Linked DNA regions of Drosophila melanogaster. The protein of the gene in region 4 interacts with the protein of the main gene of each other region in a pairwise test. Each region holds a gene or a part of one and is shown on either strand. Other genes may lie near its edges. The genes, in order: Spn77Ba, mRNA-cap, Bem46 and CG11672.

The links.
Region 1: the proteins of CG11672 (region 4) and Spn77Ba interact in a two-hybrid assay, tested with the Drosophila melanogaster proteins (one large-scale study listed by BioGRID).
Region 2: the proteins of CG11672 (region 4) and mRNA-cap interact in a two-hybrid assay, tested with the Drosophila melanogaster proteins (one large-scale study listed by BioGRID).
Region 3: the proteins of CG11672 (region 4) and Bem46 interact in a two-hybrid assay, tested with the Drosophila melanogaster proteins (one large-scale study listed by BioGRID).

The regions. Positions count from the first base shown.
Region 1 is NT_037436.4:20,314,519-20,321,315, forward strand, and holds Spn77Ba (serpin 77Ba), read left to right. Parts: upstream 1-2,671; 5' UTR 2,672-3,254; coding exon 3,255-3,270; intron 3,271-3,865; coding exon 3,866-4,295; intron 4,296-4,352; coding exon 4,353-4,623; intron 4,624-4,679; coding exon 4,680-5,048; intron 5,049-5,106; coding exon 5,107-5,373; 3' UTR 5,374-5,598; downstream 5,599-6,797. Other genes in the region: alphaSnap (alpha soluble NSF attachment protein), read left to right, coding at 90-405, 465-785, 880-1,029; Spn77Bb (serpin 77Bb), read left to right, coding at 6,523-6,683, 6,751-6,797.
Region 2 is NC_004354.4:14,238,661-14,244,971, forward strand, and holds mRNA-cap (mRNA-capping-enzyme), read right to left. Parts: upstream 4,163-6,311; 5' UTR 3,922-4,162; coding exon 3,718-3,921; intron 3,654-3,717; coding exon 2,721-3,653; intron 2,659-2,720; coding exon 2,520-2,658; intron 2,466-2,519; coding exon 2,192-2,465; intron 2,125-2,191; coding exon 1,928-2,124; intron 1,861-1,927; coding exon 1,658-1,860; 3' UTR 1,606-1,657; downstream 1-1,605. Other genes in the region: Dus2 (dihydrouridine synthase 2), read left to right, coding at 1-945, 1,013-1,263; CG32599 (uncharacterized protein), read left to right, coding at 5,169-5,375.
Region 3 is NT_033779.5:2,984,843-2,990,575, reverse strand, and holds Bem46 (Bem46), read right to left. Parts: upstream 2,461-5,733; 5' UTR 2,332-2,460; coding exon 2,193-2,331; intron 2,140-2,192; coding exon 1,898-2,139; intron 1,837-1,897; coding exon 1,495-1,836; intron 1,418-1,494; coding exon 1,239-1,417; intron 1,180-1,238; coding exon 1,065-1,179; 3' UTR 510-1,064; downstream 1-509. Other genes in the region: okr (okra), read left to right, coding at 1-140, 197-509; Chd1 (Chromodomain-helicase-DNA-binding protein 1), read left to right, coding at 3,130-3,189, 4,426-4,935, 4,991-5,100, 5,163-5,336, 5,399-5,733.
Region 4 is NT_033777.3:8,287,922-8,293,018, reverse strand, and holds CG11672 (uncharacterized protein), read left to right. Parts: upstream 1-2,440; 5' UTR 2,441-2,470; coding exon 2,471-2,521; intron 2,522-2,583; coding exon 2,584-3,255; 3' UTR 3,256-3,624; downstream 3,625-5,097. Other genes in the region: CG31463 (uncharacterized protein), read right to left, coding at 1-653; CG31464 (uncharacterized protein), read right to left, coding at 1,015-1,665, 1,720-1,767; nazo, read right to left, coding at 4,501-4,721, 4,779-4,980.

The DNA.
Region 1 (6,797 bases), on a different chromosome or scaffold from region 4:
AAATATTATCATTAGTAAAAAGTTAATGCTCTTTTCTGATCCCTTGGATTACATTAAGGCTTATTACTTATCGATATCTACTATTCCAGAGGGTCCAACAAGGTGGAGGACGCCATCGAGTGCTACCAGCGGGCGGGCAACATGTTTAAGATGTCCAAAAACTGGACAAAGGCTGGGGAGTGCTTCTGCGAGGCGGCAACTCTACACGCGCGGGCTGGAAGTCGTCACGATGCCGGAACCTGCTACGTAGACGCTTCCAACTGCTACAAGAAGGTGGACGTGGAGAGCGCCGTCAACTGCCTGATGAAGTCCATCGACATCTACACGGATATGGGCCGCTTTACGATGGCTGCCAAACATCACCAAAGCATCGCCGAGATGTACGAAAGTGATCCCAATAATCTGGTGGGTTCCCGTGTGCGCCTCCATGCTAATTACATATTAATGGACCATTTCCCTTTCAGGCCAAGTCTATTCAGCACTATGAGCAGGCGGCTGATTACTTCAAGGGTGAAGAGTCGGTCAGTTCGGCCAACAAGTGCATGTTGAAGGTGGCCCAGTACGCCGCCCAACTGGAGGATTACGAGAAAGCAATATCCATATACGAGCAGGTGGCCGCCTCCTCGCTGGAGAGCTCTCTGCTCAAGTACAGTGCCAAGGAGTACTTCTTCAGGGCCGCTCTATGCCATCTCAGCGTGGACCTCCTGAACGCCCAGCATGCCATCGAAAAGTATGCGCAGCAGTACCCAGCATTCCAGGACTCCAGGGAGTTCAAGCTCATCAAGGTGGGTATCAGTTTGCTTAAGTTTTATCTTTGGTGTGTGTGTGTCGTCTTTGGTTTTCGCAGATATTTACTTTAAGACGCTTTTCGAATTACAGGTGTTGTGCGAGAATCTAGAGGAACAGAACATCGAGGGATTCACAGAGGCCGTCAAGGACTACGACAGCATCTCCCGGTTGGATCAGTGGTACACCACCATCTTGCTGCGGATCAAGAAGGCTGCGGACGAGGATCCCGATCTGCGATAAACGAAATCAATTAAATTTTCGGATAAAATCGCGTACACATTTATTAAATGCTTTATTCGGTTCGGATATTAATCTACCTATACATATATAACTAAAAGAAAATTATTAAACGTGTTGCATTGCTTAACCTGAAAGCACCCAAACGACGGCCAGCTTGTACGCGTGAATTAAACCTATGGAATAGTCTATATTCCCGTATTCTAGAGTTTAATTTAACGTTTATGCAACGAATGAAGAAGGCAGCAGATGCCGAGGCTCAAATTGCGCTACCACGTGCTATTCAAAAGAAAAACTTTATTATTTCCAATGTGGAGTGATTAGAGGTGTTACTTATGTTTGTCTGTTTTTGCGTTACTCTTGTTATTTGTGTAAGTAGCCAATCAATCAGTGGGTTAGCTGATGTTCCATTTGGATGCGTAAAGTACCCTATAGAAATCTGTATCCACTACTATAATAAATTGAGAACTTCATTCTATGTGTGTAATGTGTTAGATAATTTTGAGATTAACTAAAGAGTCCCTGGTAGCGAAAATGAATTTCAAACCAATTATAATTCCATTTAGTGCACTGAAATAAAATTAAACCTAAAGTTTAGATTGTACGCATATACACAACCTACAAATAAAATATATGTCCACATAAACATTACCGATTACCCCGATAAATATCCAAAAAGTACACGGAATTCTAATAAATACTTGAGGGTCACATTTATAGAAAATTCCATCTCGCAAAATTTTAACGATGTTTAGTAGATCAACATGTACGAGCGAATTATAATCCAATAAATAATATTACGACGGAGCGACGAAGATTACGCGGTCGTCGAGGCCGAAGCAAGAATAAATAAATCAATTATTGAATTTATTGAATGAAGATCTCCAGGAAACACACAACACCACTGAAACCTGACCCAACACATTTAATTATTAATACTGCAAAGATCCTGGTAATGCCTCTATGCAAGCGTTACCACGGATATTTCCAATTCAAATACTTTAATAAAGTTAACGCTTGGATTAATCCTGTCATCCTCTCTTCGTATCCATCGATGTTTCCTAAAATGGTGCCTAGCATATATTCCAGTCCATCCATAAGCATTGTCTTTCTAGTATATCATTAGTTTGCACCTGTCACTTGGGAAAAAAAAATGTTTTTTACCTTGAAGTTTGTTGTTTATTGCACTTGTAAACTTACTGGTATTGAAAACATTCATTTGTATGATTATAAAACACAGTTGAGAGCTACCTGCATATGTCTTCTACAGCTCATATTTGATGTCATCTTAACCATCCATCCACGAGCTTACAATATTGCATATACATTTGAATACATGTAGTTACCTTTTAAAATATCTTGGATTCAGGCACAGTTGATGTAGATGTGATCTAAAGGTGAGTTACTGGAGTTAACCCGGCATTTCAACCAGTTTCACCATCGGATTAGCTGCAACTCATAGTAGTGATTCCACCTGATTTCCATTTCGCGAATGAGGCTTCATTGTCAAGAGCGGCAGACAAAGGTCTGCCAATATCAATACCGCGTTCTCTCGCTGCGGCTCTCGCATCTGAATCCGAGTCTGAACTGATTTGGACCCGGCTGTGGGACGATGGCGGTGGCGGTGGGATGGGATGACCATATCAGTACGGTGCTGAATGGTCGATGGAGCAGTCTCTCAGTCACTCAGTCACTCAGCTGATGCTCGTGCGTTAGGTTGACATTGTTTGTGGGGAGTTGTGTGGACGTGGGTTCGATCTGGCATCAAAATCTTGGCAAAACCGAAAACCACCAGTAGCTGGGTTCACAAATTGAAATAAATATATAGAATTATATAAGCGGCAACCGCATACGCGAACACCCCACCCACCTGTACGTATGGTCTCCTTGCGAGCGTGTATTTGTATACATAATATATGTGGAATTCCCCTCAGTGCATTCCGGTTTTCGAATAACACCGACCGACAACAGTGTATAGAGACATATAGATGAACGTCGCTTTGTCAACATCGAAAAACCCCAAAATACATCAATAAAAGGTTTAAAAGCCTCTCAATAATTGATGCACACCCACATGGTTAAGCAAAAGTGTGATTCATTTGTGTGCGCAATTATTATAAAAATTTTAAAAGCCCTGCCTGAAGGCCCAATTATAAATAATATTAAAAGCCCGGCCTGAAGGCCTGATAAGCGAGGCTTGAGCCAATTCTTGATCGCAGCCACAAAAAATGGGTAAAATCGCAGGTAAGCTTCGTGGTCAATTAATTATGGAATATTTCCCAGAGGCGGGGATGTTGTTTTAGAGGCAATCAATAAAGAGATTTAAAATTTACAAGTACTCGTGTGTGCACAGCAAACACATATTATGTACATACATATATACATTTTGTATTACGTACAAACACATGAGGTCGTCAATGGATCATCGCTATCAATTGGAAAATGCTTATTTTTACGCATCTGGGAATACTATATGTACATAGTACTCACGCGAGTGCCTTTGAATTTCATTCGATTTGATTAGACCGGAAATAGCTATGCCGGATTTTCAGGCAGTTTTTCAAAATCGAGTTGTTGGTTTAACTCATACGGAGTTCAAGGACAATTGGCTAACTGCATATGTATATGGTTTAAACTTACATTCTGAAATGAATAATAAAATTATATTCCGATGGAAAACAGTTACCGTAAAATGATTATTTAACTCGAAATTTATAAAATTATCCATCTTTAACGCATTTTAAAATGATGTTGGTGTAAAATAATACAATAATTTTAGTGCGGCTTTTAACATCATGATCCTTAATGAAATGACGTTCTAATGCACATCTTAATCCAGATTGCCTGATGCTATGGATTCCACTACTCCTGGGAGCCATCTTCCTGTGCTCGGCGGATCCTCAGAACAACCAAGCGCCCCTCCAGCTTTCAGTGGGCAATCCCCTTACCGCATTCACAGCTCCCACGGCTTTCCAAAGTGGCGTCAGCCATATCCAGTCCATGAGAAGCAACTTCGACACGGATGTCCTGGTCAGCATTTCGCAGGGGGTCCAGGACTTCGCCCTCGATCTCCTGCAGCGCATATCCGTTGAAGTGGAGAAGGCCAACAAGGATTTCATGATATCGCCCTTTTCCGTCTGGTCACTCCTGGTGCTTCTCTACGAGGGATCCGAGGGAGAGACCCGCAACCAGTTGAAAAAAAGCCTGCGGATCAATGTCGAGGACGAAAAGCTTCGGGGCGCCTACAAGGTTTGGAGCTCATTTCTGAAGTGAGTTTATAGGATTGCATATTTATGGATCGCGGTGACCCCCTTCCCTCTTCTAAGCATCACCACTTCCACCATCGAAGTAGCCACCCTGCAGGCCATATACACCGGCAAGGGGTATCCCATCAAGAACAACTACCGCGATGCTATTCAAAACTACAATGTCCAGCCGATGGAAGTGGACTTCTATAGCCCGGATTCGGTGATCCAGATCAACGAGGACACAAATCGCACGACCCGCGGTCTGATTCCTTATACCATTCTGCCACAGGATGTATATGGAGCGAAGATGTTTCTGCTCTCGTCTCTGTACTTCAAGGGCCAATGGAAGGTGGGAAGTGAACTTGTCCACTTGCAAATCCTTCGATATATCGTTTTCGCTTGCAGTTTCCCTTCAACAAAACGCTGACAAGAGAGGAACCCTTTTTCAGCGAGAGCGGCGAAGTCATTGGAAAGATTCCCATGATGGTGCAGGAAGCGAACTTCGCCTACGTCTCAAACGTAGAGGGTTTGGATGGCTATGTGCTGGAGCTGCCCTACGGCACCCAGGATCGTCTGGCGATGATCGTGGTGCTGCCCAAGCGCGGATTCAAGCTAAACGACGTAGCCAATAATCTGAAGGCCTTGGGATTGAGGCCCATCCTCCAGCGACTGGCGGCATTCAGGAACAGGGCCTCCGAGGACAACGAAGTGGAGGTCATGATGCCCAAGTTTGTGACTGCCACAGATTTCACTCTTAAGGGAGTCCTCATCCAGGTGACAGAACTTCTAAATCCAATCTGGAAATACATTTGTAAATAACTTCTAATTCTAGATGGGCATTCGCGATCTGTTCGACGAGAATACAGCCAACCTGGACCGAATGTCTTCCGGCTTGTTTGCCAAGCTGGTCGTCCACTCAACCAAGATCATTGTGGACGAACAGGGAACCACGGCGGGAGCCGTCACGGAGGCAGCGCTGGCCAACAAGGCCACACCGCCCAAGTTCCTGCTCAACCGGCCCTTCCAGTACATGATCGTAGAGAAGGCAACCGGACTTCTCCTCTTCGCCGGACAAGTGCGGAATCCCAAGGCGGCCTAAAAGTCCACCGACTCACACTTTACTCACATACCACAATAAATACGTTACGTTAAGACAAAAGGGGGAATTTTATTACGGATCCTTGCAACTCCCTCATGTACCACTTCTGTACTACTGTGGCAGCCCAAAAGATTCCTCTAACGTCACGGCCAGGAACTAAAATCTGTCAGGATACGTCAAGTAAGCAGCACAATGGGGAAGTCTCACTGTACCGCTATATTTTCGTCACATGTAAAAGTTGTTAACGTATTCTTATTAAAGAATATAAATAATATTAATTTACGCGACGATCTTGGTATTACTGATGCCAAGCTTTCTACATCAGCGCCCTCTTGCGGCTTTGAAAATCTTTGAAAATATCGAATAAAACGCGTAGTACAGCTGAAAAACTGCTGTAATGAACACTGTAAAATTAGCAGCTGCAAATTAGTTGAATGGTCTGAACAACTTCGGGCACTTTTGGTGTTCCTTCGCCATGTCACTGGATATTATGGATAAGGAAACTAAAAAAATCCAAAAAAATCGTTCTCTTTCAGAAATTTTGCCAGATTTGACCGACTTGTGGTCGATAGAGTGGGAGAAGAGTAGAGCTGGAGTCCGTATTCCCAAAATTAAAATATCTGTTTGATTCAATTCCTTGTCGATTAGCAATGTCTTTTATTTCGAGCTAAAACGTTAATAGCGTGACCTGGCCACTACTATTCTCCAGATCGCAAAATACGGAAGGTATACGAAGGAGTAAAGCAATACGAAGATAAGGAAACATAAGCTGCAGCTATTAAACGTGCTTGTGCCGCCAGAAGGACCGTTTTTTGGAAGTTTTTACTAACAAAACTCTTTACTGAAACATTTTTTTACTTTACTTTTTTTACTTTATTTTACATACTCATGACAAAATCTACGAGTAACTGATATAAAAAATGCAAGGCACGTGCAAAAAAACGGGAACATAAAAATAAAGTATACATGGCTTGGAATATTGAACTCCACAAATTAACGAAAGTAAATCATATAAATATAGTTTTTTGTAAATAAAAAAACAGTTTTGAGTAGTCTTCGGGTGCACAAAGAGGTAAGAAAAGTAAATGATATTTTTGCTTCAGCTGAAATATTTCTTATCGGTCTAGCCAAGTAAATTTTGTTGACAATATGAAGCTCGGATTTCTGGGGCTTTTTGGCATGGTGCTCATGATCATGTTCTACGAGGGAGCAGAAGGGTATACCGTCAATGAGCTGCGCGATGTCCTGGGGATCTATGTCGATTATCCAACACTGCGCAGGTGGTACGAGGATGTCCGAGCTTATCACTAGTAAGTACCACATTACTCAGAAACTACATCTATTAGAATTTTCAATGTCTTTTTCTTTAAATTCTAGTTTAAATTCGGAAAACACAAAACTGTTTTCGCTGCGTTACGCTTACT
Region 2 (6,311 bases), on a different chromosome or scaffold from region 4:
ACTTTGTGGATCCGTCGGATGGCACGATTGTGTTCCGCACCTGCGCCCAGGAAACCTCACGGCTGGTACTACAAATGGGCACCAGCGACGCTGGACGGGCTCTGGCCGTGGGCAAGCTGCTGCAGCGCGACATTTCCGGTCTGGACATAAACATGGGCTGTCCCAAGGAATTCTCCATCAAGGGCGGCATGGGCGCCGCCCTGCTCGCTGATCCCGACAAGGCGGCACACATATTGCGCACTCTGTGCTCCGGCTTGGACATTCCAGTCACCTGCAAAATACGCATACTGCCGGACGTGGAGGGTACAATCGATCTGGTGCAGAAACTGGCCGCCACGGGCATCGCTGCCATTGGCATTCATGCGAGGACGCGCGACGAGCGTCCGCAGCATCCTGCCCATCCCGAGGTACTGCGTGCCGTTGCCCAGGCGGTTGACATACCGATTATCGCCAACGGTGGTTCGAAAAACATGCACTGCTACGATGATCTGCGCAAATTTCAAATGGAATGCGGCGCCGATAGCGTGATGGTCGCACGTGCGGCACAGATCAATGTTAGCATCTTCAGGCCGGAGGGCCTGCTGCCCATGGACGAGCTAATCGAGAAGTATCTGCGCCTGTGCGTCGACTACGACAATGCGCCGCATAACGCCAAGTACTGTGTGCAGAGCATACTCAGGGAGCTGCAGGAGACGCCGCGTGGCAAGCGTTTCCTTCAGTGCCAGACGCTGCAGCAGATCTGCGAGATCTGGGAGCTGGGCGACTATTGCCGCCGCAAGCAGCGGGAGCTAAAGACGATGGGCAACTCGGGACGGGCGGAGGTGGAGCCACCGGAGGCGCTGGCCAAGCGACAGAAGCTGGAGGATGCGGCCATTGCCATAACGGACGAGTACGACGGCATCATTTGCCGACACATGCCATTCCTGCGCTCCACCTATCCCAGTGGTAAGTGTTTCGATCAATCTCTTGCCATGATAGCCATCATCCCCATTCGGTATTTTTCATGCCACAGATAATCATCTGCCGAAAACGCAACTATATGTGCATGCTGTCAAAACTGGCAAATCCCCGCCAGCGTACGAAACGCAGCAGTGTGACAAATTGTTTCGCTCCATCTGCACGTACGATGGCCAGCGCTTTAGTAGCTCCTTCTGGGAGAAGAACAAGAAGCAGGCAGAGCAGGGCGCCGCTCTGGTGGCCCTGCTCCATCTTGGCCAGCTGGAGGCGGAGGTTCTGCGCGACAATGGCAGCCTGCTCAACTGAGCAGCAAAGTTCCTCCTGTTTTATGTAAATGTCATCCATTTTGGCTATGTTTTGGACACCATTATTTAGTTGTTTTTTTTTTTTTTGATTATTGCAATGGCTGTTGCAACTGCCTTAGGTGCTGGGAGCAGTATCTGGACTACCTCCATTGGGTTAACAAAGTTTGCATCTGAATAAACAAAACTGCAAGTGTGCAGTGCTTTAAATATATGTATGTATTTAGATAAATAAATTATATGAGCTGTTTTAAGTTTATAAGGAGTACAGCTGGTTGGAGTGCTCCTAGTACTAAGTAATTCGTAGTTCAGCTAATCCAAGAAAACCCAAGTTCACACAGTTTTTCGGTACATAACTCACGATTAATTTTATTCTTTCTTTTTTTATTACGCTCTGATTAATTTCCTAATGTCGGGTTCACGCAGGGACGACGCTGGTGTTGGCCATGACCATGGGGATAAAAGTGGTTATGGTTGTGGTTTTGGTTATGGGAATTGATCGGCGGCGGCATCATGACATGATCATTCCGATAGCCAGAGCTTGCGATAAAGTTTAGTAGGTACTCCTTGGTGACTGGATGCTTTATGCTGTCCACAACGGCTGAAATTAAGATGAGTTGAGAATGAGTATAGGGATCCTCCTACTGCTGGTGAAGATTACTACTCACAGCGGGCTGTATTATAACTGTTGGGATTCTTTTTGTCCGTTCGCTCGCGCATAAAGTCCCAGTTGCCAAACTGATTCATGGTGCACTCAACGATTCTGTTGTCCAATTCTCTGGTCTCCTTCGTTAACCTTTGCATCCGTCCATAGGGTGCATCGTGTCCGCCGACATAGAGGAAGCCCACCTTTTTCGTCAGCAAGCTGCCAGAGGCGGAGAATGGCATGGTATGAATTGAGCCCGTTGAACGGATAGATCACTACAACTCACCCCTCGCCGCGCTCTGTTATGATCTTCAGCCGAAAGTCCACCGAGTTGAGCTCATGTGGCTTCCATTTGAAGACATCGGAGCATGTGCCAGCCGTGTAGGGCTGCTTTGATGGCTGGAAGATGAGGCCATCCGGTTCGTGTGCCAGTGTCCGCGAGAATTTCTCACCCAGCAGCCGGGCAGACATCCAAATGTCCCAGAAGTCCTTGCCGCGCACACTGAACGCCTGCAGCCGCTGATTGATGATGCCATGCTTCATGCCCAGGATTCGGGGACCTGCAGCGATATATGGATGTGTCCTTCATAAACGAACATCGAATAATTACTCACCTATAACTTCCGTCTTAATGTAGTCCAGTCGATTTGGATAGAATGGCTCGTCCCGCACATCGCGATTCGATAATCGCACAATGTCGTAGATGAGGTAGCGCGGCGTTACGGTCTCGCCGATCTTGTCCAGCACCATCTCCTAAACGGACAAATAGAACGATAATTTAGTTGCAATCAGGAGTGCCAGCTAGAATCACATACCCCGTCGACGAGAGTGCCGTCGAGATGCTCGTTTAGGTTCCTGCTCTCCACAAATGTCACATTCTCCACCTGGAAACAGGAGTGATTGCGATCGAAGAAATATACCTCGTCCCTTCCATCGATGAGCATCATATAACGTGTACCGTCCGCCTTCCACGACACACGATACGGTATCTCGCTTAGCCGCTTTATGTTCTCCCTGTCCATGGAGACGGGCTGTGCGCCAGGGAAGCCGTTCTTCTTCCAGTCGCACCAGTCCTGCACCTTACGCTGCAGATCGCCCAGTCGCGGCTGATCGCTCACCTGTCGCACGCCCGGCACTCCCGCCATAAAGGTGGCATTCTTGATGATCATTTCGCGCCGTCGCTTCTTACGCGGCTGACCGTCCGACGTGGAGGCGTCACAGTCGCCGCCCGCATCCTCTCCCTCCACCTCCTCGGCGTCGTCATCCTGCTCGCCGGCCTGCTGTGACGTGGATGAGGAGTTGTCCTGCACAAAACCATCGCCGTTGCCATCATCATAGTCCAGGCACCAATTGGGCTGTTCTGGTGCCGCTGGAGCGGCATTCGTGTCCTCGTAGCGTTTGTACAGCTCGTTGATGTAATCCTGCTTGTAGATGCCCGGCGGCCGGGCGCTGGCAAAGATAGCGAGCGCTGCCGAAACGGAGCAATCGAGTCGCTCGACCAAATAGCAGACAATCAGGAAGCCAGTGCGATTGAAACCGTGCGTGCAGTGCACGGCTATAACGTCAAATGGACGTTCGTTAATAAAGTTGTCCACGATCTCGATGAAACTGTGCGTCTGCTCCGGCGATGGCGTCTCGCCATGTCCACGGCACTGCAGCTTAATATATTTCGCGCCGAGCTCCTCCACTGCGGATCGATCGTAGAATCGTTTCGTATTGGTCAGGTCAACCCAGAGGCCCAGTTTCACCTGAAACCATAAGATGGATTGGATAAGTGAGTTGGAAATTGGGGGATGTTGCGTTTGCATTCACCTTTAGCGTTTTGCAGTATTCGAAGAGCATCTCGGGTTGAAAGGTGCACTCGATGGGCATCTTGTCGTGAAAGTTATTGCTCAGCGGGGTCTTAAAGGCCAGGAAGCGTTCCGCAATGATGGTATCGCTCTTGCGCGGACAGTATAGCCAGCGATTGGGCAATGGACCAGAGCCCCGTTCCCGATCCCGATTAGTTAGGGCCATAGTGCCACAGTGGCTCCGCCTCTCCTGCTCCTCCTCCTCCTCCTGCTGCTGCTGCTGCTGCTGCTGCTGCTACTGCTGACGACGATGGAAACGGCGGGCGCAGCGATGGGACGACGCCGTTGCGTTTGTGTTAGGTGGTTTATTGCTGGTGCAGATTGTGGTGGATGCAGATGCAGCGAGAACTCGCGGGCCTGGGAATTCTGTGTAGGATTTGTCTAGAGATGTGGAATATATATGTAAAAATATCGATATCTTATTTGTTTCCCTTTTTATAAAAATAAATGATATATATATATATAAGATATCGCGTTTTTTGCTAAATATATTTTTCATATTTCTTATTGGTCACACTAATATGCAAGTGAATTCAAATAAGAAAGACGTTAATAATAAAACGGAAATAAAATGAGCACAGCCAGAAGTTATTATTCTGGAATAATCGACAACAGCGCGACCTGCAATGTTTGTAGCAAATCTAGTTAAATCTTTATATCTTTTATCATTTTAATGATTTTATTAAAAATGATATATCATCGAACTGTCCAGCCAAATTATCGATGCGTCCGTTACATCGATAGCATCGATTGTTTGAAAATATTGTTGGGGGAATTCGTCAAAAAGTTGTTCTCACGGGGAAATTACGAGAAAGTATTTACAAAAGTATTTAATAATATATATAATAAATTTTAGTGTAATTAAAATTAATTAAATAAAAAAATTAAAATTTTTTTAAATATACAGAACAGAATTAAAAAAACATGTTTTTCCCCTACCTTCTGCCGCTCATTTGTATCGATAATCGTTTTTCAAAATAGCTGCGAATCTTTTGCATAAAAATAAACAATTTAATTGCTGCATATTTCGGTCGATGTGTGCATACACACATACGCACATACCTATATATATATATATACGCATCAGTTTCGATATGAACTTGGGGCACACACAGCCAGCCGTACAATTATTTACTGCAATGTAAATAAACAACAAATAACAACAAATCGCCCGCAGAAATCGAACGAAGTCGCGAAAAAAAAGAGGAACGAGGAGGTTTGGGCTCGTAACCACACAATTTCGCCTCTCACTCGATTTTTGATCGCCGCCCGGACGCGATCTTCACTTCATACAAATTGTGAAATTTTTGCGAAAATTTGAATACACTCCGTTCCGAAACTCGATTGTTTTTTTGCGGTCCGTTCAAACCGAACTAGTACGTAAGCCACTTATTCCGTCGCAGAGCCACGCCCATGTCCGCGACCGCCTCAAATCGCCAGCCGGTGCCAAAATTTCCGGCCGCCATGCCGCGTGGAACGGGCACAGTGTGCTCCAATCCGGCGGTGCCCAAGTCGCCGGATGCCCTCACCTCCCTGGTGGCCCGGAAGAGCATTACGTCCATGTCGGAGGAGGAGATCATTCAGGAGAATCTCAACGAGATCCTCGACCTCAAGTCGCGCGTAAGTTTGAATTTGAGGCGGTGCTTTTGAAAAGTATCTTAAGAAGCGAAATGAAGATACAATATCTTAAATATGCCAAATTCGCAAGTTTAGAAACCTGAACTTAATAATTAACTTTTCAGTACTCAATTAAAAATCGAATGACTGTGATCTTTTTCATTCATCTACATATATTACTGAATCGCTTAAAACTAAACAAAACTTGAACAATAACCATATGGACATTCCATGAGTGCTCTCGTTTTTTTTTTTTTTTTTCACCGTGTTGTGATTCATTGGAAACACCTTGATTTACGTGCACGTCATTTACGAATGGATCACTGTGACTTTCAGATTTTCCTCAGCTTTTCCGAGATTTGCAGACGTCTCTCAAAGTTTGTACGACGCCATCGTTTGTGGCGCCATCATTATCGATGGGAATCACTGGAATAGAATGTGTGTCCGATCATAAAATCCGAAATGTTCGTTTAGTTTTCGCCTTAGATCTTTTTGCACATACAGTGGATGTTAAGAATGCATTTGCCATTTAATAGTTAACTGGAAAATGTACAGCAAGTGCAGAAAATGACACTGGAAGAAGCGTGTTTCCAAATTAATTGATTTGAGTTTGACATGCATACGCATTATTTTTTGAAAATTTCCAAACCTATTTAATACAAATTGTATAAAATCAGGCACGCATTTTGCGATCAACAAATAACGAAGCGAAATCAACAAAAGTCCCAGATATACACAAAAAAAAAAAAAATGCCCAAGCGTTTTTGTGTAAATCACGCCATTTTATGAAGTGTAAGATAATCAAATCGGTATTGAGTTTCCCTTTCGGAAACTTTTGTGCAATTAAAAACAAATTAATTGGCATCCAAGTTGATTTAAGCATTTTTGAAATCTTATTTTCAAAATCCAAGGCACTTAACTTTTTGTTATTTGCAAGAA
Region 3 (5,733 bases), on a different chromosome or scaffold from region 4:
CTGCAGCGACAGACGCACAAAAAATCCCTGTCGAGCACCATCATTGACAACAACGAGTCGGCCGAGAAGCATTTCACCCGCGACGATCTGAAGGACTTGTTTACATTTGATGCGAACATTCTGTCCGACACACACGACAAGTAAGAACTGGCTTTGGATACCCTTTAGATCATGATCGTGTAACATATCTTTTCAGGCTCAAGTGTAAGCGCTGCGTTCAAAATATACAAATGAAGCCACCGCCCGAGGACACGGACTGCACCTCGCATTTGTCACAATGGTACCATTGCTCCAACAACAGAGGCCTGCCTGACAATATTCTCGCCCAGGCCTGGATGGATTGCAAGTGCGTGTCCTTTGTCTTCCACCACCGATCGCAGGCTCAGGAAATTGTGCCGAGTGCTGAGGAGGAAGCAACAGATCAGCCAGAGGAAAAACCAGAAAGCCGCAAACGATCATCCACGCCCGCCAGTGATGACAGTGCCGATGAGGACTTCCGTGGATTCTAGCAATTGTTTGCAGTTTATTGTTTCTCGAATTTCCTTTTTCTTCGCACTTAAGTCTAAACTTAAGATAACTTTTTCTGGCTTCCTTTGCAATCCTAACAAGTTATTAATTTAACATTTCAAAAATGGAACCAGCACAAAATGTTAACGTGCTAGGGGTGAAGGCTTCTATAAACTAATCTGGCAATGTAGGAGTCAGTCCAGAAAATAGTTTACTTTTTTGTGAAATACTGATCAATTTCTATACTCTTAACTGGCCGCCAATCGGGCAAAGTAGTAGGTTAACATAGCTTAGGACAAATACAAGCAAACATCGAAATTCGGATTCTAGTGTGTATTCACTTGCTTAAGCGCAAAGTTATTTAAGTTGGTTACTTAAAATCAACAGCCATCTCCGCTAGCACGTTATTCTCTGCACATAAAAAGCAATTTGGCGTATAGCAACGTCCGGATTAAAACCCTGTCAGATACAGATTAATATTATGCGTGTGTATATGTATAAGTATTAAACCATTCGCAGTGTTAACACAGTCAATTGAACACTTGATGTATTCGGGTCTATACATCAATAATTTTATGCTCCAGCTCCACCCAGACGTTGCTCTTCTCCGGCGCCTTGAGGAGCGGCTGTTGCTGCAGCTCGGCCAAAAACCCACCGATGGCCTGATAGTACCTAAAAAGCAAGCACACCCATGGATAAATGGGAAAGTGAAGATTAATTGCCGGCCATACCCGTCCACTATCCAAGTGTCGTTGTGCGATCCGCCGGGGAATTCGAGCAGGCGCTTTATCTCGCTGCCGCATTTGGTATACAAGGCACGCATCATGCGCGGTGGCACTAAGTTGTCCGCAAGGCCCGAAATAAACAAAAAGGGAACCGAACACTTGCCTATCTTGCTCATGGAGTGATACTGCATGTGAAACAACAAACAATAATGTGGTAATGAGATAAAGTAAACAGAGGGCTCAACCGGCGACGACTACCCACCTTATTCTTAAATAATAGATTTGGTATATACTTCACAGCGGGATGCACCAGCTCCACGGCCATTTCCGGTATGCTGCTAAAAGTGTTCTCCACAATAGCGCACATTAGCTTCTGTCCATATACGGTATCGGCTGCAACGTCGACCACCACAGCTCCGCCCAGGGAGCGTCCGAAAAGTATCAGTTGCGAGTGGTCCAGGTCGTGGCGGGTGTGCAGGTAGTCAATGGCCGCTCTGGCGTCGGTGACCAGACCCCGCTCGGTGGGTACACCGGTGGATAGGCCATATCCGCGGTATTCCACCATCAGAACATTGCAGTGCAGATGGTGGTAGATGCCCCACACCTGAGAAGCGTGTCAGAGAATTGTAAAGTAATGTCGTTATCAGAATTGGCGCTCCCCTTACGTTTTGCATGCGGTGTCCCATGTTGCCAGCGTTGCCGTGGAAGTAGAGCAGCGTGGGCGACGACTTGGAGCGCTCCTCCGGTTGGGTAACCCAGAAGGCGTGCAGAGTGACATCGTCGGGTGTCTTGATGCTGACCGTAATGTGCGGCAGGTTGTGCATTGTCGGAATGGGTATGTAAATGCGGGAGTTGGCTGGCAAGTCCGGATGGTAGAGAAGCAGGTCCTGGGCATAGTAGAATATCACTGCAAGGGCAGGCACTTAGTGACGAATGACTGGTCTGAAGCAGAATACGTACGCAGGATGATCCCAGCGAAGAGTGCCAACGTCATGTAACCGCCGTAGAAATAGTAGAAAATGAAGCACAACAGGAAGGCAGCGAGTACTCCCACGCCCACGCCGCGGGACTTGGGCAGAGCGATGCCCACTTCTTTCATGTTCGCCTGTGGTCCAGCTGCGCTACATGTCCAACGCTCTAATTTAATTAAATTGCATCAATTCCAGCGCCAGCAACACAAACGATTTGTAATTGTACACCGCCCACAGCTGATTTCCAAGACACCTGTGCAGTGCGAAAAGTTATCGATAACGCAGTACAGTAACTACTGACGATCAGCGACCCCGATAAGGTTGTGATCATGTGGCTATAATGAACTACTACTACTAAAATTATTAAATATCGTTCAACTCAACATTCAACTCATAAAATAAAATCAGTCAAGTAATTAAGTAGTTTATTTCTTTTTGACATATTCTGGATAACTTGAAACGCTACATTTAATAATTTTATGCCTATGAAAAGGAATATATAATATCAATATAAATTCAATTCATGACTCTATTTACTTTATTTTATATTTATATAAATGTTGTACATGTTTTATATTATTATGCAAGCGATATATCCCGCATCATCACTGTCGCGCGGTGTGCCATCTCTACTGCAGCACGCACGGTCCCACTAATTCAAGATGGTGGAAAGATTTCTGCTGCGTCGCATGAGTAAAACGTGAAAAACGATCATTTTGTTTCGAAAAAGTGCATTTCAAAACAAGTGGGCAGCGGGAAAAACATAAACATTCGCCAGCGACCGCATGCAAGTGAGCCCCCTGTATTTAATGAGCGCTACAAGGCAACTGTGTGTGCTACCACGACAATATAATGAGCCAGGTGAGTAGGCCTTGAAAAAGCTGTGGTTGTCAAACATCGGTGTGTGTGGAAAAATCGGAAAAACTATGAATTTCTTATATCATTTGAAACCAGACAAGTCAAAACAGTTTGATCCAGGCTGTCGTGTGAGTAAAAACGTAAATCAAATGCTACACACAAGGCAATCGCTCAGTTTTGTGGGCGTGGCTGCTCAGCAACGAAGTCTGTAGAAGTCCCCTCGTCGCGAGACACCTACACTTTGATGACTGGCCGTGCGGCTGCTGGCGGAGCATTTGGATAAAAGGATTTATTTCTCCACTATTCCGAGAGTGTTTCATCCTTCCGACAGTGCCTGACAGTTCCCAAGGCTTCAACGTGGCAGCCAAGGTGGATTTTGTGGAAATCCATTGGGTACCCATTTTCGCAAATTCTACTCAAATTCAAGAATTTCTGTTTGTTTTTATCAATAGCGGCTGTTAAAATCCTGTAATTTCCATGGATTTCCTTCCTTTTTCGATAAAATGGAAAATTTTCACCGATTACGTAATCAGAAATGGCTAGGTGCAAAGTTTCCTCTCTTGTACTTCTGACCAAATTCCAGGGATTTTCGAGCCCGCCAAAAGGCTACCAGCAATAATTTTCCTTAAATTCCTCCTCTTTTCGACAGATACAATGATTAAAAATAATTTTTTCCGCTTTGCCATTCCTATTTCCACAGTTTTGTGCCTTTTTCAGGGAAAGATCCCGCCCAGAACATCGATTTCCCGCTTGTTTCTAAGGATATCCGGGTTTCTAATCACCAGGAAGAAGTGTCGTGTGATTACCGCGTTCTCTTCAAAGTAGTCATGTGCTTCTGTCGTGTGCTTCCTGGAACTACAAAACGCAATACATTTTGTTTTACCCTTTTTGGCCAAAAACTGCCATAAACAAATTTCTGGAGAGGATTAGTCCTGTGTAAGCCATGAGAGTGCGTTTTATGAAAGTTTCTTCACGCCGTTTTGTTTTATAATCTGTTCAGCACGGCCCAAGAGCCAAGTTTTCGAAGTTTTCCGTGGTTTTACCAGGCTTTTGTGGAATCTAAAGTGCGACCTCACTCTGGACAGGATTGAGCCATCTTCTTGTTTTAAAATGTCACTTTAAGTCGTTGCCTATAGTTCAGTGATTGTGTAACCCATTCCTTACTTCTAAGGAGCTGAATAAGGGGAATATTAAACATGTTATGCCAATTTCGATGCACTCTGTACTCACAATTTCTGGCCAGGATTGGCTGGCCCAGAGCCGGTGTGTTACTTCAACCTTTTCGTATCCGACGGTTTATCTTTAACTAAGATTGATTGATCTTCAACCTAGATTGATTTTGAAATTACTTTTCATCTGACCAGGCACTCAATGAATCGGCGAATAGTATTGGCTCAGACGAACAAGATGACACTCGGGAAGAGGCCAATGGCACCGACCATAGTGGCAGTGGCAGCGGTAGTGGCTCCTCCGGCTCAGACTCAGATTCAGACAGCTCCTCGGGCAACTCTAGCGATGGACGGAGCTCCCCAGAACCCGAGGACAAATCGTTATCGGTGGCAGGGTTTCCACCGACAGCCGCTGCTGCCCAGGCGGACAGTAAGACGAACGGGTTCACGGATGACCAGGAGGACAGCTCCAGTGACGGGTCTAGTGGCAGTGATTCCGATTCAGACGCCGAGGGCCCATCGGATCAAAGGAACCAGAGCATCAACAATGCCAACACAAGCAGCAGTTTGCCTAAGCCGGAGCAGAATGAGGAGGAGGACAATGAGACTGAGGCTGGTCAGCAGCAGCCAGCCAGCGATGCCTCTGCCGATGAATCAAGTGATAGTTCTGCCAATGTGTCACCCACATCCTCCAGCAGCAGCAGTGTAAGTTTGGACCGGCGGTTTCATCTTAAAAAGTTCCTAACCATTCTCCACGCAGGAGGAGGAAGAGGAGGACTATAGACCCAAGCGGACGCGCCAGGCGCGCAAACCACCGACTGCTGCTGAGAAGTCGAAAAAAGCTCCAGCACCCAAGAACAAGAAGAAAACGTGAGATTTCCAGCATCCCCTTTCCAAATTATTTTCTACAAAGCATTCGTTTCATTTGCCAGCTGGGACTCGGATGAAAGCGATGAAAGCGAGGACAGTGATGACGAGGTGTCCACCGCCCAAAAGCGCAAACCGGCAGCAACTACCTCTCGCAGCAAACTCGCACAGCAACAGCAGCGGCGCAGGGTGAAACCCTTTAGTTCCGAGGACAGTGATGATGACGACGCTAGCAAACGGTAATGACCCCAGCCCTTTGCTTTTTGCCTTTCCCTGACCCATGTCCATCTTTTTTATAAAGCTGCGCTACTCGTCGCAAGGGTGCTGCCGTTAGCTACAAGGAGGCTTCGGAGGACGAAGCCACCGACTCCGAGGATCTGCTGGAGTTTGAGTACGATGAAAGCCAGGCAGCCACCACTGCCGCTACGGCTGAGGAGGAGGAAAAGTGCGAAACCATAGAGCGTATCCTGGCGCAGCGTGCTGGGAAGAGGGGATGCACGGGCAATCAGACAACGATCTATGCAATAGAGGAAAACGGCTTTGATCCACATGCTGGATTTGATGAAAAGCAAACTCCAGACGCGGAGACCGAGGCACAGTTCCTGATCAAGTGGAAGGGCTGGTCGTACATCCACA
Region 4 (5,097 bases):
CAATCAACGCCATCGTTAATGGCCTGCAGACCTATCTGGAACTCTGGGACCAGCGAGTAACTGCAATAGGCGGCCTGACTTCCGCGGCCCCAGTAGTTCCACATGTATCCCAATCCGGCAATGGCTGCGGTCACGATCTTTGGTTTGTTCAGCTTCAGCAGATTCGTCTCCAGTTGGATGGCCCTCTCCACCAAGTCGTCAATGCCGAACTGTGCCTCGTCAATAACATCCTGAATAATCTCCCTGAGATCCTCGAATTCCGCCCTCTGATTTGGTGTGAAGTCGGGACTGGGCTTTCCCATGATCTCGTCGACAGTGGGCAATTTTGTGTCATACACCACTCGAGGTTTCTCATCCAAGTAAATGGAGAACTTTTCGCGAAAGTCTTCAAATGCCCGTAGGTAGTTGCTATCCAGTTCAGGCTCCTCCGCGGGATTCTGATCACTCCCATCGCCGCTCTGGAGCCTCAGGCTGTACAGATAGTTGTACTGCGCCTGAAACTCTAGGTACAGTGGACGCAAAGCAGCCACTTCCTCGCCAGACAACTGCAAGTCCACCTGTTGCTTCTGCAGCAGAGTCTCCAGTTCCTGGTTGGCTTCACCAAAAGCGAAGAGCAGCACACAGCCCAGCAGAAGCAATGCTTTTCCAATCATTTTGCCCGGGCAACTGTTTCAGTACAACTGAGGGAGGGATTTTGACCAGCTTCATTATCGGAAGAAGTATGGCTCGTAAAACACTATCGAAGATACCACACTTGGTTTTTCTTAAGTGGCGCAGGTTGATTAGGCTTATCCGGCTTATCGCCAATATTACGCTATATATAAACCACCACGGGGCAATGTTTTTCGAGAGAAAATTTAAATTTCTATTTGGCTTTTTATGAATGGTCGAACTGATAACGATTAAAGATAACTATGCTCATAAATATTAGGTAAAAGTTGATGTAAGTAATTAATATTTTCAAGTCGACACCAGACCACAGTTAATAGTGCATTTGACTTTATTACATTCTTTCTAGTTTATCGCACACGACTCAATCTGCGTAAAGAGGTCATCGAAATCCATCTTCAGATGATGGTAGAAGAGGCAACTTGGTGTGTCCAGGTCTTCCAAGGACATCTCCAGCACAATTGCATCGCACAGCTCCAGACTGCTGATCATCCGCTGATTGATCCTCCCGATTCCAGCGACAGTGCATAATAAAACTCCGGCGTGATTGAAACCAGACTGCTTAAGCTGCCAGATTCTGCAGGTGTTTGACAACTCACTGATCTCCCGCGAAGCCTTACTCAGAAAATTAGCCTCCAGCACGATTTCCTCCTGAAAATGATCCATGATGTGGTCCAGAGAATTCCTGCAGATACTGTACTTGTCCACCAGCTCTCGATTGAAGTGTGCCACCTGGAGTTCGTACTTCTTTGAGCATGCCCGCCACTCATCGCTGTACTGGCTTCCAAAAAACATCTCCAAGCGTCCACTAACCACTTGCTGATGGTCATCCAGTGTGTCCTTGGCTTCTTGAAGATACTCCAACTTCTGATCGAGGGCCTGTTGGGTGACGTTCCAGATCCTGGCTGCACTGGAGCTTTGGCTGGCTATAAGCTGCTTTGTGGACTCATAGAGTGGTCCATTTTGTCCCCAAATTCTTTGAAAGTGGCCATGCACCTGTAAGATCTTTTCTTTAATATTATACTTTACACAAATAATGCTATTTCATACACAAAGAAGCGACTGAAGTAAAAGCAGTGACACCCGTACTGTTGTCATCTTGAAACTAAATCGAATTGATTCCCGAAAAATTGAAGATACCATACCTTTTATTTATAGATCGCCAAAGGTTGCCTTAATTAACTAAGACTAAGAATTAAATTCTTTTTTGGGAAAGAGTTTTAACGCTTTAACAAAAATTGTTATTGTTTATAAAGAAAATATTGGGATACCGAAAAATTTAACAGCGTAAGTTGCTAAAAATACCCATGTCATATGTGATCAATATGAAACTTTAGGGTATTTAAGTTCCGAACAAAACTTAAATTAAGTTCTGAATTAGACAAATGGCTCATTTGTGTCTTATAATGTTTATAAGAAAGATTCTTATCGCATGATGACTGTGTAACGACTATATGCTTCAAGTTAGTCATCAACCTCAGCTTTCTTTAGCAAACTTGAACTGTAAATATCTCCCCTTTTACAAATAAAAGTATAATTGATCCCTCCATTATTCAACGAAGGTGAGAAATTTACAAAAAGAAATTACGAAAATTTACGAAAAATACGATGACCAAATAGAATACTTTGAATAGTATACCAAGTTCATGTACTAAAACATCATCTCAGTTCATCAAGTTAATGCTCAAATTGTGTTTCGTAGTGATTGCTATGAGACACACTCTTATCGTGACACTGGATCTCTTGACATATATAAGAAGTCAAGTGTAGGGCCAGTCGCACTAGGAAATATAACAGAAAGATGATGAGTCAAACTCTGGGAGTACTTGCTCTGCTTTTGCTGACTTTGGCAGTGAGTTAATAGTAACTTTCCATTTATAGTACTTTTCAAATTCATATGCTCCTTTATTTCAGGACTGCCAAGAAGTCGGCTATGAAACAAAGATGGAGACAGAGACTACAAACTATGGACCTGTTACCATGGTTGTGGACAATCTGGCAGAGATTGCCGTAAGTGTCAGCGACGACACCTCCATTCAGTTGGAGGAGAAAATAAATCGCACTCGGCAAAATATTGCCGGTAACATTGAGGTCCTGACCGCCAATGCTATGGCCGAACTAAGTGATGTGATCTATGAGACAAACCAGTTAGTGGTGTCCAATCCCGATTGCAACCCAGCCTGGAGCCTGGATGAGCTCAATGAAAATGTGACCCATCAGCTGGGTGGGTGTACGGAAGACTTGGGAAGCCTTTTGGAAGACTTCCGTCTGGAGAGTCAACTGGCTTTGGCCAGAGTACAGGAATTCGTACAGCAGATTGCCCACTTGCCGGCCAAGTGCCAATTGCTGGGGGCTTCCCCGCTTAATCCTCTAGCTTCAGCTGGCGGAAGTGTCTGTTTCATTAACGCGATGGCGGAAATCAATCTGGGGATGGCCCAATCCATGCACAATGCATCCCTAATCCTGGTGCAGACCCACCAGACCGCCGAGGATCAAGTGGTGCAGGCTCAGCTGTGCAGTGCCATGGTGGTGCAGCACATCGGCGACTATCTGCGCGAGGAGCAGGATCAGTGCCGGCAATCATAGTGGACCGACCCTTCCCGTAAGCAATAGTCCTAAGAGAGAACCCAGGCAAAAACAGCCAATGGCAAATTTATGCACCCGCAAGATGACAGGGGCCGAGGACTCGCCACATCCTGTTCACTTATTGCTTATGCATGACATTTATTTGACAAGTTTTTGATTGATTTTACAGCTGCTGCAGTCGATCTGGTACAGCTATCAGCATATTTGCAGGCACAGTGAAGCCTTTTTAAAGTCTGGCTTGGAATTGAAATAAAATCAATTTCAAATCACTATGTTCTTATAAAACGCTAAGAGGCGTGTGTTAAACCAAGGAATTTACACATTTTAAAATGATCAATAAATAGTGAAGTAAATTACTACTTAGTATCAAGATCTCATTTCAGTTTGATTCGACTTAGAGAGGTTGCTCTGTAATTGCATATATATACATATGTACATATGTATATTGGGCAACTTTGTGGCTAATCGCAAGTTCACTTTTCAAAGTCGCATGCATACTAATTGGCCATTGTTCGGCTAAACTGACCAATTGCCCAATGGACTTGCCCACGACACGTGGCAGCCACACGATATAAGATATAGTAGCATACGGATCCGATCCAAATGGGCGACAGCTGGCCCTAGAAAGAGATAGAGACGGAGATCGAGATCGAGATCAGCCAGTTTTTTTCCTCTTCCTCTCGCTTCCGCAGTAAGCAAAATTATTTTGACCTGCCTACCGCACACTGAGCGAATATCCGAAGCGAGTATCTGTGCATCCGTGAGATACACCAAAGCATCGCATCACACATCTCTCTCGTCGTTCACAGTGCAGCAACGAAATTTCTACGACTCTTTATTTCGGCTCTTGCCGCAATTTCACTAAGAGTCTCTGAATTTTATCTTATTTTTACTGCTTGTAACAGTTGTTGCCCTGCTGATGATCGCCTTGGTAGTGTAGCTGCACAAATTCCGCCTACTCCAACATCTGTTCAGCTCCTCCAGACATCTGACGGATTTTGATGACGTAGATCGCGCGACTCTTGTCTATTGAAAGCCGAGCTCTGAGCAAAACAATCTTTTTACATCTGGCACATCGAAAAGGCTAGTCACTGACTATTAAATTATAAGCTGAAATGGTTTTTACTATAGATTTTAAAATAAAATCATTCAGTGCGCCAACAATTTATTTATGTTGCAGGCAAAATTCTGTGTTATAGCATTAATCATCGAGAAATATAGTTTAAAAAATATTTCTATTAATGCCTAATCAACGATGGTCATTCCCATACGATCAGTGATATAGGACTTGACTGCTTCGAGTGCAACCTCTTGCACATGCCGGTTATTTAGTATTAGTCTTGCGACATCTCGAACGCGTACATTTCTAACTTCGGATATGGCCCTGATCACGTGCTGCTCCAGTTCTCGACGCTGACTCTCCGTCAAATCGTTCAAAATGACCTCACTTAGAGATTTGAAATTTCCTGGAATTAAAAGACTGATAAGAATGATAGTCACCATGTAACGCTAGACACTCTTGCCCTCCGTAAGTCCGTAGGCGGTGAGACCACCGATGGCCCCGCCCAGTGCCAGTCCCCGGGGGCCCAGCAGTAGTCCTCCGATCAGCGCAGCGCCAGCACAAATTGCAGCTCCCTTGCCGGCCTCCTTGATGGTCAACTGGATATTTTTATCGTCGGCCAGTATAGCCAGGGCATTGATTATCTCTGAGATGGCTGAATCCATATTTTCAATTTATGTATATTTCCGTTACAAAGTTTTACTTCTTTCCCGGTGACGATCTTTCTAACAACTGAGTACAATCACGTTGTTATTTCGTTATCAGTAGTGCAATAATTGTAT